Linked DNA regions of Elephas maximus indicus. The protein of the gene in region 2 interacts with the protein of the main gene of each other region in a pairwise test. Links are inferred from orthologs where the notes say so. Each region holds a gene or a part of one and is shown on either strand. Other genes may lie near its edges.

Evidence for each region. The genes of interacting proteins can lie anywhere in the genome.
Region 1: the proteins of PIN1 (region 2) and THAP7 interact in binary tests that used the Homo sapiens proteins (3 or more experiments, as listed by UniProt). The two-hybrid records come from large-scale screens. The link is inferred for Elephas maximus indicus from reciprocal best matches to the Homo sapiens genes PIN1 and THAP7.

The regions. Positions count from the first base shown.
Region 1 is NC_064840.1:21,509,980-21,517,577, reverse strand, and holds THAP7 (THAP domain-containing protein 7), read left to right. Parts: upstream 1-4,736; 5' UTR 4,737-4,782; intron 4,783-4,941; coding exon 4,942-5,021; intron 5,022-5,397; coding exon 5,398-5,553; intron 5,554-6,060; coding exon 6,061-6,201; exon of another isoform or gene 6,202-6,308; intron 6,309-6,393; coding exon 6,394-6,958; 3' UTR 6,959-7,095; downstream 7,096-7,598. Other genes in the region: tubulin alpha-3 chain-like, read left to right, coding at 3,499-3,795. UniProt on the Homo sapiens protein: Chromatin-associated, histone tail-binding protein that represses transcription via recruitment of HDAC3 and nuclear hormone receptor corepressors.
Region 2 is NC_064821.1:28,010,627-28,018,077, forward strand, and holds the start of PIN1 (peptidyl-prolyl cis-trans isomerase NIMA-interacting 1), read left to right. Parts: upstream 1-4,449; 5' UTR 4,450-4,491; coding exon 4,492-4,549; intron 4,550-7,435; coding exon 7,436-7,451. UniProt on the Homo sapiens protein: Peptidyl-prolyl cis/trans isomerase (PPIase) that binds to and isomerizes specific phosphorylated Ser/Thr-Pro (pSer/Thr-Pro) motifs.

The DNA of each region.
Region 1 (7,598 bases), on a different chromosome or scaffold from region 2:
TGCAGACCTTGGAGGTTACAGGTAGGTAATGAAAACTTCCATTCCACGTGTCTAATTACCAAGCTTCTCAACTAGAACAGACATTTTTCTTCTAGTGCGACTTTGGAAGGGGAGAACATCCAAGGCCCTCAGCTGGGAGGCACTGTGGGAGATGTGTGCTATTGTCTGGGTTTCTACCTGGCTGAGTCTCTGGCTTTTGTGAGCCACTAGCAAGGCCAGACTGTGGGGCCGGTACAGGAAGTCGTAGTCCCCTCCTGTCCCCACAGAAAGGTCCAGACCCAAATGAACCTCTGCTGTGAGTTCTTTCTTGTCATTCTGAGCGTGCTTTCACCATATACTCCTTAACAGCCATTTACTCAGGACACTTACTGTCAAGGCGTCTTTGCAATGTTTAAAAATGTTTATTATAATATGTATGTGGTAAAATGTTAAAACAATGTAGAAGCCTGAAAAACTGAAGTCCTCATCCCCTTCCCAGAGGTTTTTGTTTATCCTTCAAGAGATGCCAACAGACACAGACTAAGGATGCCCTTTCCTTTCGAGCAGGTTACAGATTCAACTCACTACATATACGTGGCCAGAAAGACCAGGAAGATGGCAACACTCCCACTTGGAGAGGCCAGCTGGCCTTAGAGCTGCAGGGTACCCCTAGGTCAGAGTGAGAAGTCCCCTGTGCCCTTCTCCCTGCCACTCCCAGCTCTTCTGGAGACTAGGTGCTGCTTACCCATCGGGGCAGGGCAGGGCAGCGTCACCACCTCAGCATGGTCCTTTGTTTTTTATCCTCCATTATGCTGTTCCCCTTGCCATCCAAGGTGCCAGCCTGTGTCTGTTACTGTGTTGGTTTTTTTGAAGCCTAAGAATAATTACGTAGCATTCTTGAACTTGCTTTATTTTTTTTTTTTTTTTGGCTTTAAAGAACCGTTCCAGAGGCTAAAAGTCCAAATCAGGGTCCTGGTCGTGCCAGTTACTTCTTTGGACCTCTCTCCTAGTTTCTGGTGTCTGCCAGCAATCCTTGTTGTTCCTCTGATTGCAGACAAATCTTCATGTGGTGTTTTAGTCATCTAGTGCTGCCATAACAGAAATACCACAAGTGGATGACTTTAACAAAGAGAAATTTATTTTCTCAGTCTAGTAGGTTACAAGTCCAAATTCAGGGTGTCGGCTCCAGGGGAAGGCTTTCTTTCTCTGTCGGCTCTGGAAGGAAGGTCCTCGTCCTCAATCTTCCCCTGGTCGAGGAGCTTCTCAGGAACAGGGACCCCATGTCCAAAGGATGCGCTCTGCTCCTCGTGCTGTTTTCTTGGTGGTACGAGGTCCCCAACTCTCTGCTTGCTTCCCTTTCATCTCTTGAGAGATACAAGGTGGTACAGGCCACACCCCAGGGAAACTCCCTTCACCTTGGATCAAGGAGGTGACCTGACTAAGGGTAGTATTACAATCCCACCTTAATCCTCGTGACATAAAATTACAATCACAAAACGGAGGACAACCACACATGGCCTAACGAAGTTGATACACAGATTTTTGGGGGGATATAATTCAATCCATAGCCTGTTTGTCTATTCTGCTTTTTCTGTACCACTCAGAAATGATGTTTAGGACCCACCCTACTTTGGTATAGCTTCATTAACACAACAAACGAAAACTATTTCGAAACAGATCATATGTACAGGTACAGGGGTTAGAACTTCTGAATTTCTTTTGGGGGACAAAATTCAATCATAACATTAGTTTTTAGAATAGTAAAATGGTTAAGTGCTCAAGTGCCAGTGTCTGGCCAACAGTATTTGTATTTTGGCTCTACTACGCATGGCTCTGTGACCTTGAGCAGACAACTGACCAATCCTCTCTGATCCTCCCTGAGAAATGGGGAAAAGTTACTGTCAAGCTCAGTGCCTGGCACATACAGCTGCTTTACTTTTTGCATAACAGTGCACCTTGGAGACTACAGAGTTCTTTTTAATGACCATAGATGGTGTTTTACTGTGTAACTGTATTAACTCTTGATGATGATGTTAGTTGCTGACTCTGACACAGGGCAGCCTTATGTACAACAGAACAAAATGTTACCCGGCTCAGTATCATCATCACAATCACCATCATGTGTCAGTCCATCATTGTGGCTACTGTGACAGTCCATCTCACTGAGGGTCTCCCTTGCCCTCACTGGCCCTCTACTTCACCAAACATGATGTCTTCCTCTAGTAGTTGATCCCTCCTGATAATGTAGCCAAAGCAGGCGAGTCAAATAACGTGCTTTTCTGATCCATAAGGTTTCTATTCACTAATATTCAGAATTCGGAAGTAGATAACCGGGTCTTTCTTTCTAGTCTCTTAGTTGGGAAGCTCCACTGAAAAGTTCATGGGTGACCCTGCTGGTTTCTGAAATACTCGTTGGTATAACTTCCAGCAACACACAAGCCACCACAGCATGACAAACTGACATGATAATTTAATTCTCTATGATAGACATTAGTTTCGAGCAGCGCTTGGAATCAGTTTGGAACTGTTCAGTAATTGCCGACTTAAATGAGGGCATTGTTGCATAGCAACCAGGTCTCTTGCCTTGGATTTTGACCAAGTGCTCCACTCAGAGATGATGTCTAACAATGCTGCTTTGAATGTGTGTTGCTCTCTCCACAGTCCTGCCATTAATCCAGTCTCCTGCATGGGTCCCAAAATTTTCAGGAGCCTGATGCTTTTCTGTTAAAAGGTGATCTCAGGGAGTTTTGATTCAAGGTTTTGAAAAGCGTCTCAGGGCAATAGCCTCAAGGAGTCTTTTGGTCTCAGTGGTCCAGTTAATCTGGCCATTTTTATAAATTTGAATTTTGATCTGCCTTTTTCTCCCATTCAACCAGGATCATGTATTGTGACCCTGGTTGGGTAAGTCAGTGGTGGTAGCTGGGCACCATCTCGTTTTTCTGTTCTCAGGGTAGTTGAGGTCATGCTTGTGTAGGCAATTAGCCTTATAGACTTGTTTCCTCTCTGTGATTTTTGGTTACCTTCATATTCTTTGGCTCCTGACAAGTAGAGACCGATAGTTATATCTTAGATGGCTGCTTGCAGACTTTTAAGATCCCAGATACTACTCACTTCACTGGGATGCAGCACATGAACTTTGTGAACTATATTGTGCCAATTGATGGAGTTGTCCCATGAGACTAAGGTCCTCTTCCTACAAACTTAGAAAACCAATCCCACAAAGTGTTCAGTTATGTCCGAGAAGTATCAGTAATTATGTCTTCTTTCAATATATGTGCCTGCACACACATATCTGTACTCAACGTGTATAGATACTACGACCTGTGCACACTTACGTGCACACCTGTACCTACCCGTATACTTATTTGCCTATACTCATACATATGTAATCATATGCTGGTTTTGTGGTCATCTTTGTGTCTACAGTAATTACTTAAACTGGACCCACAGCTTTTTTTTTAAGCTATCATTTCTGAGAGCAGTATTAACCTTATCTTCTGTCTTCCCCTTGTGTGACAGGTGGGCATCAACTACCAGCCCCCCACCGTCGTCCCCGGGGGAGACCTGGCCAAGGTGCAGCGCGCCGTGTGCATGCTGAGCAACACCACGGCCATCGCCGAGGCCTGGGCTCGCCTCGACCACAAGTTCGACCTCATGTATGCCAAGCGCGCCTTTGTGCACTGGTACGTGGGGGAAGGCATGGAGGAAGGCGAGTTCTCGGAGGCCCGGGAGGACCTGGCGGCGCTGGAGAAGGATTATGAAGAGGTGGGCGTGGACTCCGTGGAAGCAGAGGCCGAGGAAGGGGAAGAATACTAGATGGAGTGTGGCTGGCAGCCATTTATTTGTATCTCCCCGACTGTAATTTACAGATTTATCTATTAAAATTTCTGTATTGAGGCGTCCCGTCTCTTGTGCTTCATTTTGACAAAATTCCCAATCCAGATACCTGGCTTTTCAAAGAGATTTCTAGAGGGGAAACATCCGTTTATTTCTTCTCAAAAGAACAAATTAAGCATGTCTGTGCACATTTAATTGGTAACTTACATTACCTCCAGAAAAGCCTCAAAAGGCTCGGTTGAGGGAATCGGAAAAATGCTTTACTCAAATAATATAAAGTCTTTAGCTCGCCATACTTGGTGTTCTCGGGACGGCAATCTGCCTTTTTCGCCCAAAGAGAGCTTTCTGAAATCATGGGATGACTCTGCACCCCGGCTTGGCGGCGTGGAGCCCGGTCCCGCCGCTTCTCCAGGGCAGCGCAGACCCAGGTCGGAAACGCCCATCCTTCCGGCCTCCCCGCGCTCCTGTCCGAGGCTGCCACCGGCGCCCTCCAGCCCATCACACTTCCCTGTAACTAGTGACGGCCGCCCGACGCACCGGCGTCCCTCTGCCTGAAGTCCCTGGCCGGTATCCCGGAGTAAGCTCTGAGCACTGGTGTCTGCCAGGGGGTTCCGGGCAAGCGTCCCGGCCGCTTCTCGTCATCGGGGTTTCTTCTGTGCAGTTAGGGACCCTCAGCTCCCGTGGGTGCCGGTGCAGTAGGCTGTGCGCCCCAGAGCTGGAAGGCAGCCGCCATCACGCGCCCCTCGGTCGGCGCCGGGCAACTCACAGATCCGCGCGGGCGCCGAAAAGACAGCACCGGGAGCGCGTTTGCCGCGCGGGCCTGGCCCACTCGCCAGCCAGCCACGCCCGCTTCCCGTCCCGCCCACAGCCGAGCGCCGCGCGCGTCCGCTCCTCCGTCTCTATGGTGCCAATTTCCGCCGCGCGCCACCCATCGCGAGACTTCGGCGGCGCAGCAATGGCGACACCGTGAGTGCAGCTGACAGGAGTTCAGAGGCCGGGCTGGGGCAAGATAGGGCCGGGGGAGCCCCGACAAGCCAGGGCCCCTGGAGCGGAGCGGCGGTTGGGGCGCGAGGCCCCTGCGGGCCCGGACAGACGCCCTTGCCCAAGCTCCTGCCTCTCCCCCAGATGCCGCGTCACTGTTCCGCCGCCGGCTGCTGCACACGGGACACGCGCGAAACGCGCAACCGCGGCATCTCCTTCCACAGGTCAGCGCGCGTGCGTGCTGCCGCGCGAAGGCTCGCGTGCGCATGCGCTGGGCTCGCGCGCCGCTCTGGGCGCCGGCTGCGCATGTGCCCCGGGCCTCCGTCAGGCGGGGGCGAGGCTTGAAGTCACCGGTGAGAGAGGGTGAGGGGGGCGGTGCCGGTGGGACCGCGATCTGTAAGGGAAGGAAGGGGCGGGAGGTGTGGGCCCACTGCTCCCTGACTCTCACCGCTAGGTGACGCTGAACCAGCTGCTGGCCTCCTCGAGGCTTCACTCCGTGCCCGGCGCTGTGCGCGGCGCCTGCCCTTTCTGCCCAGGGCCCCGGGCGGCATGAGCCCGCGCGGCCGGCGGCCCGGCGCTCAGGGGTGTGTGGCTCCGCAGACTTCCCAAGAAAGACAACCCGCGACGAGGCTTGTGGTTGGCCAACTGCCAGCGGCTGGACCCGAGCGGCCAGGGCCTGTGGGACCCGGCGTCCGAGTACATCTACTTCTGTTCCAAGCACTTCGAAGAGAATTGCTTCGAGCTGGTGGGAATCAGGTGGGCCTCCTCGCGGCCAGCGGGGTCGGGCGTGGGCTGTGGGTGTGGGAGAAGCCGGGCGGAGGGTGGCCGATGAGGAGGGCCCTGGCGCAGCGAATAAGGCGAGGCTCCGAGGGCGGTTCGGCCTCGTCCAGTTGTCTTCTAACTAATGAAGACGGGATCATCGGGCCAGTGACGCAGAGAAAAAATATTAGTCCTTCCAGAGACTGTTGTTTAGAACTTCAGTACTGTCAGCAAGCGCACAAATTAAAGAATCCCCTGTGCTGCTCACCCCGGCCCTGCTGGGGAGTCTCTCGCCACATTAGCTCCAAGGAGGCCTGCAGGGGGGAGATTGTCTCACTGCCGGCGCTTGCGCTCCCCAGGCTACCTATCGCAGTCTGCCTCCCTGCCTCCCCCAGGGTGCCCAGGGACCCTGCCCCGGGGTGCTGGCGGGGCACCCTGCCCAGGGCAGGTCCGCCTGTGGGGGCAGCATCTGCTCTCAGCTCATCCGGGCTGCTTTTCCCATAGCGGGTATCACAGGCTGAAGGAAGGGGCGGTCCCCACGATATTTGAGTCTTTCTCCAAGTTGCGTCGGACATGCAAGACTAAGGGGCGCAGTTACCCACCTGGTCCTCCTGAAGTCAGTCGGCTCCAGCGATGCAGGAAACGGTATGTGCTACAGGTGGGGGCAGCCCCGCTGCACTCCCTTACTGCAGTCTGAGGGCCTGGGATGTGGGGTGCCTGCTGGTGTTCTGAGAGCAGTGTCCTGAGCCCAGCTGTGTGTGGGGGCGCTCAGGTGGGCTAGTGAAATGAGGTCTGGCAGGGCCTTGGCCCAGCTTGTCAGGTTCTTTCTCTCCCTAGCTGCTCTGAAGGCCGTGGACCCACAACTCCATTTTCTCCTCCTCCACCTGCTGACATCCCCTGCTTTCCCGTAGAAGAGGCCTCAGCACCTGCGGCTTTGCCGACCTCTCCAGCTGGGAGGCTGGAGCCTGGCCTCAGCAGCCCCTTCTCAGACCTCCTGGGGCCCCTGGGCGCCCAGGCAGATGAAGCAGGCTGCAGCACCCAGCCTTCTCCGGAGTGCGAGCCGGAGCGGCAGCCCTCCCCTCTGGAGCCTCGGCCTGTCTCCCCCTCAGCGTACATGCTGCGCCTGCCACCCCCCGCGGGGGCCTACATCCAAAATGAGCACAGCTATCAGGTGGGCAGTGCCCTGCTCTGGAAGAGGCGGGCCGAGGCAGCCCTCGATGCCCTGGACAAGGCCCAGCGCCAGCTGCAGGCCTGCAAGCGACGGGAGCAGCGGCTACGGCTGCGCCTCACCAAGCTGCAGCAGGAGCGGGCGCGGGAGAAGCGGGCACAGGCTGACGCCCGCCAGACTCTGAAGGAGCACGTGCAGGACTTTGCCATGCAGCTGGGCAGCAGCTTGGCCTGAGGGATGGGCACTGGGCTCCAGCTGACAGAGAGGCAGTGCCAGCCTCCTCTCCCTCTGATTCTGCCCAAGAGGGACCCAAATGAACTGTGTCCACCAGACCTGACCAGATGCCATAATAAAACAGATGTGAGAATGAGGCCTGCTGTTTGGCTTCAATGGGGCTGGGGGACCCCCTTGAGTCTCAGGTTCATTCCCCAGGAAACGGCTACCAGGCAGTGGGCTAGAAGTCCTTGCAGCCCCCAGAAGGCACAGACCCTGGAGCCCAAGCTCTTGCCTGCCTGGACTAGAAACCCCATTCTCTTCCTGCAGTTCCTCCTCACGGCTGCACAGGTGGACAGGTAGCAGCCCACACCTGTCCAAGAGGCAGGGACTCCAGGGTGGGGCTCTGGTGCCTGTTGCCCACCCCCCCCCATGCCCCACAGAAGTCTCTGAGGGAACCCAGACAAACCTATTGCTATTGATTCCGACTTATAGTGACCCCATAGGGTTTCCAAGGTCGTAAACCTCTACGGAAGCAGACTACTGCTTTTCTCCTGCAGAGCCACTGGTGGTGTCAAACAGCCCAACTTGCAGTTGCCAGTCGATCACTTTAATCACTGCCACCAGAACTCCTTTCTGAAAGGATACAGTGGTGTAACGG
Region 2 (7,451 bases):
GGTTAAGAGCTTGACTGCTAACCAAAAGGTTGGCAGTTCGAATCCACCAGCTGCTCCTTGGAAACCATATGGGGCAGTTCTACCCTGTCCTGTAGAGTTGCTATGCGTTGGAATCACCTTGACAGCAGTGGGTTTGTTTTTTTTTAATATGCGCTTTGCTGGTTTTGCTTATCTGAAATACCCAGCCTCGCTAGAGGTATGGGCTAGCAATTCTGAAACTACCTACCTACCTGTGTGTGTGTGTGTGTGTGTGTATACATACACGTTACAGTTCAACAAATAATCTATTATAGATGAGAGCCACGGTTTCTTATTGCTAGAAGTAAAAGTTACAAATCAAATGGAGGAAGGCTGGAATGAACCCTGTGGGACTGGATTAAAGTTGGAGGTATCAGGATGAATTTATAACTGTGTTTACTATATATGCAGACAGAAATATAGAGATGTATACGTGTGTGTGTATGTATATACATACACACATACATACATTTCCTTTTTTTATCTACGGAGCAGGACCAGAAGCAGTGACACCCCAATAGTGATGACCATATCTTGCACTCCAATCTTGGTTTCTAAATACAATCCTCCAATAAAAAGAACTAGGCCTTCTGGGAAAAACGAGTTGGTTCCAGGGCTTGGGCAGGGAAAATACAAGATGAGCCTGGAGCAATCTGTGGTGCCAGAAAGTAGGAAGTGCCCAAATAAAAAAGGATGGGAGTGTGTTGAGAGAGCACAGGAACCAAACTGAAAGGGCTCCAAATGGCCAAACCTGGAACAACTTGAGCAACAAAGTAATGATGGTATTGAATTATAATCCAAAGAATAAAATAATTTTGAGCCCATTTTAACTAAAAAAAAAAAAAGCTGCCACTGAGTCAACTCCGACTCATGGTGAACCCATGTATGTCAGAGTAGAACTGCTTCATAGGGTTTTCAGGGGTAGATTTTTCAGAAGTAGATTGCCAGGCCTTCCTTCCGATGTACCTCTGGGTGGACTCGAACCACCAGCCTTTTGGTTGGTAGCCAAGCAGCTAACCGTTTGTACCACCCAGGGACTTGAATATCCAAAAACTAACTGAAGAAATAAATGTGGAGAAAGGAGAACCTTTTCTTACAGGAGGATTCCAATAAATAAATGTGGAAGTATAGAAATGAGAAATCACCATTGGACACCACAGCACTAATTGCCATAGGCAAGATCCACTGTTAAAAAAAAAAAAAAACCAAACCCAGTGCTGCCAAGTCAATTCCGACTCATAGTGACCCACTGTTAGATGGTAAAATTTTGTGGTCAGAATTTAAGCAGAAGTAGGATATTTGCATAATCTTGAAGTATCTGCCTTAAATATTAATTACAAAGGGAAAAACAGTAAGTTTAGATACCGCCTTAAGGAAATGGTCAAAGTTAATATATGTGGTATGCAACCCCTGAAATGACTCCTAATGATCCCCACATTCTGGTATTCACAACCTTGTATAATCCCCTCCTCTTGAGTGTAGGTGATGGGATGCAATTTCTGAGATAGGTTCCAAAGAGACTGGCTTCCATCCTGCTTGCTCTCTTGCTTTCTTATTTGTTCTGTGATGAAAATCAGCAGCCATGTTGTGAGCTGCCTTATGGAGAGACCACCAGCCAAAGCCAGTGAAGAATATAGCCCTCAGTCCAACTTCTTGTGAGGAACTGAATCTTGCCAACAATCCCTGCCCCAGTCAAGCCTTCAGATGAGACTGCAACCATCTCTGCCAACACCTGATTACAGTCTGTTAAGAGACCTTGAGGCAGAAGCATCCTGCTAAAGTGCCTGGACTACTGACTCAACAGAAACAGATAATAAATGTTCATTCACTAAGTTGTGGGTGATTTGTTATGTGGCAGTCCATACCTAAGACAATCAGTAACACATTTCAAAATCATCTACCACTTGATATGATGCACCAGGAAGGGCACATTGCTTCTGGTATTCTTCCTGGTGATACATAATTCAATTTAATTGTGAGAAATTAGACAAACACATCATGACAATATTGGAATGAGAGACATTCTACTCTTCAGAAGAGTCTGTCATGAAAGACAAGGAACTGTCACATATTGGAGGAGACATGACAATGAGAGATTCTGAAACCAAAAAAAAAAAAAAATATTCAAAAACCTGGGGAAATCTAGAAAAAAGTCTGTAGTATAGCTAATAGTATTGTACTGATGTTTATTTCTTAGATTTGATAATTTTTCTATGGCAGGTTTTCTCAACCTTGGCATTATTGACATTTTGGGCTGGATAATTCTTGTATGTAGGGGTGCTGTGTAGTGTAGGATGTTTAGCCAGCATCTTTGGCCTCTGTTAGGGATTGAATTGTATCCCCCTAAAATGTGTGTCAACTTGGCTAGGCCATGACTCCCTGTATTGTGTGGTGGTTCACCATTTTGTCATCTGATGTGATTACCCTTTGTGTTGTAAATCCTAATCTCTATGATGTTAATGAGACAGGATTAGAGACAGTTATCTTAATGAGGCAGGAGGCAATCTACAGGATTAGGTTGTACTTTGAATCTCTTTTGAGATATAAAAGAATCAAGAAGAGAGGAGAGGGACCTCATACCACCAAGAAAGAAGTGCCAGGAGCAGAGTGCTTCCTTTGGACCCAGGTTCCCTGCACTGAGAATCTCCTAGATCAGGGGAAGATTGATGACAAAGACCTTCCCCCAGAACTGAGAGAGAAAGCCTTTCCCTGGAGCTGCTGCCCTGAATTTGGACTTCTAGACTCCTAGACTGTGAGGGAATAAATTTCTCTTTGTTAAAGCCATCCACTTGTATTTCTGTTACAGCAGCACTAGATAACTAAAACAACCTCTACCCACTAGATGCCAGTAGTATCCCCGCCCTCCACCCCCCCCATCTGTGACAACAAAAATGTCTGAAGACATTGCCAGCTGTCCCCTGGGGGGCAAAAGTGCCCTGGTTGAATACTATTTTATTGTTATGTAAGATGCTAACAGAAGGGAAAGCTGGGTGAAGAGTATTTGGGAACTCTAGTACTGGGTTTGGTTTTGGTGGTATGACTTGCTTTTTTCACCCAGCATCATTTAAACGTCACGTCAAACTGATGAACCAAACCCATTGCCATCAAGTCGATTCCAACTCATAGAGACCCTATAGGTCAGAGTAGAACTGCCCCATAGGGTTTCCAAGGAGTGCCTGGTGGATTTGAACTACTGACCTTTTGGTTAGCAGCTGTAGCACTTAACCACTGTGCCACCAGGGTTTCCATCAATCTGATGAGGTATGTATTATTTCTCATCCCCCTTTTGTAGATGGGGAAGCTGAAGTGCAGAAGCTAAGTAATTTGCTCAAGGTCATAGCAAGTGGCTAAGTGGAGTTTTGAGTCCAAGCAGTGTGGCTCCAGGGTGTGCTTTTAACCTTCTATCATATCCTGCCTCTAATTTGTTCTGGACTTGATTCCCTATGCGTTCATGTCACTGTGCAACATTTTTTAAATGGTCATTATAGGGTACACGCTACAGATAACTGTCATTGAACTCTTCTCTTAATGTCTGACTTCTGTATCTCTCTCCCGCCTGCAATTCCCCAGAGCTGAGTCTCCAACCACCTACTCAATGCCCCACGGGCACCGCAGACTCGATTTTAAACTGACTCAAACTGAGCTCATCATCCTTCCCTCTCCGCCCTACCCACGCCTTCCCCCCCCCCGCAAAGTGTTCCCACCTGAGTGGCAATGCCAGCACCCATCAGCCACCCAGGACGAGGGAAGATTGAGATTGACAGAGAATGTGATGTAAGTAGGTCCCAAAGGAGATGTAAGGTGTTTGGGTCAGTAGCATAGGGAAGTGTTAGCCTTGCACAGAATAAAAGGGGGACGGGTTAGCTTTGGACATCTGGAGGAAACAGGTGGGACGAGGGAGGATGGAGAAGCCAAATTTAGGCTTCTGGATTCTTAGCCACTCCTCACCAAGGTAACTGGGTTGCTATGGCAACAGGACAGTCAGCACCGCAACTCCCAAGTACCTCGTCGGCTGCCGTTATCCCCATACTAGCCAGACACTTCCGCTTGGGTAGAAATCAAGGGATTGCCAGCCTTCAGGAATGGTTTACGAAGGCGGGAATAGCCACTGCGGTAGCCAATCAGTAAGCTCTTTCCTGCCCGAGCGGGCTGTGCGGCGAAGGACGCAAAGGAGTGGTCGGGACTTCTTTGGAGCTCGCCTAAGGGCGTTGAGAAGGGCCGGCTTGAGTCCCTTCCCTGCCACTTAGGGGCCGAGGGGGCGGGGCCCAGATAAGATGTGGGAGGAGCCGCCCACCCTCGCTTCTGTCCAATAAGAAGCCAGGAAGGGAGTCCCGACGGTTGGGGTATCCAGTGAGCGTCGCCCCAAGGTCCGGGTGCGGGGGCGCACCGAGCCAATCGGCGGTGGCGGCGGGCGGGCGCGGGAGACCTAGGCGGTGCGGCGGAGGCGGAGCGGGCGCTGCGGCAGGAGCGAAGATGGCGGACGAAGAGAAGCTGCCGCCCGGCTGGGAGAAGCGCATGAGCCGCAGCTCAGGTGCCTCAGGGGCTGGGGCTGGGGTAGGATCGCGCGGGCCCATGGAAGCAGGGATCGAGCTTGCCCTTCGGGCGCGGCGCCGCCGCTTCTTTCCTGTGGGGTTTTGGCTTCTCTGCGTCGATCCCGGGGAACGGCCCGGGCACATTCGGTGGCTGCTGTGGGCCTCAGGAGTGGGGAAGCTGAGGCACGGCGGCGCCAGGGAGGCTTAGCGCGCTGAGGGGTGGGTGAGGGGCCGGTGAGCTCACACACTTCCCGGGCGATGGCCCTGTCCCTGCCCACCCGGCCGACACGCCCGGGCCTAATTCGGCTGAAGTCCCGTGGGTGGACATCTTTACATCCCTCCGGGCCCGGAGGCATCACAGGGGCGACACCCCAACCCCATCCACAGGATGTGGCCCCAGCGTGTTTCCCGACCCAGAAGCCATAACCCCTGGCGTCCACATCTAATGCTGAGTCTGCAATGTCCCCCGTTATCCTGCTTGAGGCTGGCCCCTGTGCCCTGGGCTGAATTTAAAGGTTATCGCCAATAGTAGGCCACGTTTATCTCTGCTCCAGGCATTGTGCCAAGCATTTTAAGCGTGTTCTCTCCAAATCGCCACAACTGTGGGAGGGAGGTAGTTGTTACCTCCATTTTGTAGGTGAAGAAACTGAGGCCAGAACTTAAGGAACTCGCCTGAGGTCATTCAGTTCAGGGAGCGTAGACTGGGCTCCAGAGCTGCCTGCCCACAGCCACTTCACTGCAAGCTCTGGAGGAGCAAGCCCACTTCCTGGTTGTGTTTGGGGAGTCACTGCATTGCCTCAAAGTCTCTAGTAACCTCAGTAATAATTCCTGTTTACTTGGAGTGTTTGGAAACCCTAGTGGCATGTGGTTAAGAGCTATGGCTGCTAACCAAAAGGTCTGCAGCTCGAATCCACAATGCGCTCCTTGGAAACCCTGTAGGGCAGTTCTACTTGTGCTATAGAGTTGCTATGAGTCAGAATCAACTCGATGGCAATGGGTTTGGTTCTGTTAGAGAGCTTACCATGTGTCTGGCACTCTGGTGAGCACTTCGTGTGCATCATCAACTCTCCACATTAATCCCATGAGATTTGATGTCCTTATTCTCTCACCCCCACTTTTCAGATGAGAAAGCAGAGATTCGGGGAGGTAGAGCCCATTGCCACGATTTTAGAGTTTAAGTCAGTGGCTCAACTGGATTTGCCCTCAGAGCCCATGCCATTGCCCACCCTGTTCCTGCCCTGGCCTTTGACTGGCACCTACAGCATAAACCTCATGCTCCGCCCACCTCTGGGCCCTCATTCATGCCATTTCTATTCAGCTGGACCCTGACAGCCTTCCTTGGGGGTGACAGCCGGTCCTTAATGGTGATGGGCCCAAGTGTGTGCATGGAACAGAGTAAACAGTAAGGAAGTGTTACCTGTTACTGCCATTACTAAAGATGGGGAAGGCGAGGCCTCAATTTTGTCATCTATAAAAGGAGATGATAACAGCTATCACACTGTTGATGTGTTCCAGGCGCTGTTTTAAGCCGTTTACAGATGTGAGCTTATTCAGTCTTTACAACAACCATACAGTCAGGTATTGTTATGTCCATTTTACAGGTGAGAAAACTGAGGTCCAGGGAAGGTAGATCATTGGGTAAGTGGCAGGGCTGGATTTGAACCCAGACAGGCGGTCTGCTGAATGAATGCTTTGAATCAGTCTCCTGTCTCCCAGGTTTGCCTTGTTCCGCCACCCTGGGTTATTTTCCTCCTTGAAGTTACCAGCGACTGAAGTTATCTTATTTGCTTGTTTAGTGTCTGTCTGCCCCCACTTAGAATGTTAGCTCCATAAGATAGGTGTTAAAAATGGCATGTTAGGGGCATCTGACCTTCTCTAACTTCGTGAGAGGGAGAGAGAATTGCCATCCACATCAGCCCCACGCTGATTCCTATGAGGGTGGAGGTCAGACATACTGCCTGTTTCCAGTCTTTTTACCAATTCTGACACCAGCTATACCTCCGACAGCACTCTCTGCTACTGTGCTGGGTTTGATAGTCCATTGCAGTGGCTAAACAGAACTCACAGATCATACTCATAGTTATGGGGTGTATTAGAGAAGTAGTTGTTGTTAGGTGCCGTCAAGTCAGTTCTGACTCATAGCAACCCTATGTACAATAGAACAAAACACTGCCTGGTCCAGTACCATCCTCAAAGTCGTTGCTGTTTGAGCCTGTTGGGTGCTCAGGCAAGTGTTAAACAAAGCTCTTTAGCTCTGCTAATAAGTACCCAGAGGCACTCCACTCCTCCAGGAAGGCTCCTGCCCAAAGGTGCTTAGCTCTCTCACTCCGTGGGTCAGCACACCCACTGTAACCGTATTACTCCGTGGGCTGGGAGGCCCACTGCACCATCTTGCACCAGCCTCCTGGTTCTTCTGCTGTTTCTCTGCTGCCACTTCTCGCTAAGTTGTACTTTTATAGCTCTCTATCTTTGTCTGTTGGGTCTAGGAGATTCTCAGCATGCTCTGCTCCCATTTCTTATTTTTGGTGGTAGTGAGGTCCTCCCTTTCCACCTATGGGATGGCTCATTTTAAGCCTAGTGGAATGGCAAAACTGACCAATCCCCTTGTTAGGGTTCCATACATCTTATTTACATGGTCCCACCCAATCATGTGGTGAGAGTTACAAGACCATGGCAAGAAAGGCCATATAAAAGCAATCCATCACGCTACAGCAGGGTTATGTCCTGCCAAGTTGGCTCCAGTGTCCCCGGGCCTGTGGCACATGGTGGGTGCACAGTTTATTTGCTTAATGAAGGCATGTCTGTACCCTGGCCTCTGGTTAGGGCTCCAGGGTGGCATCTGCGAGCACAGCCCTAACTGAATTCCCATCTCTCCTCCCTTCCAGGCCGGGTGTACTACTT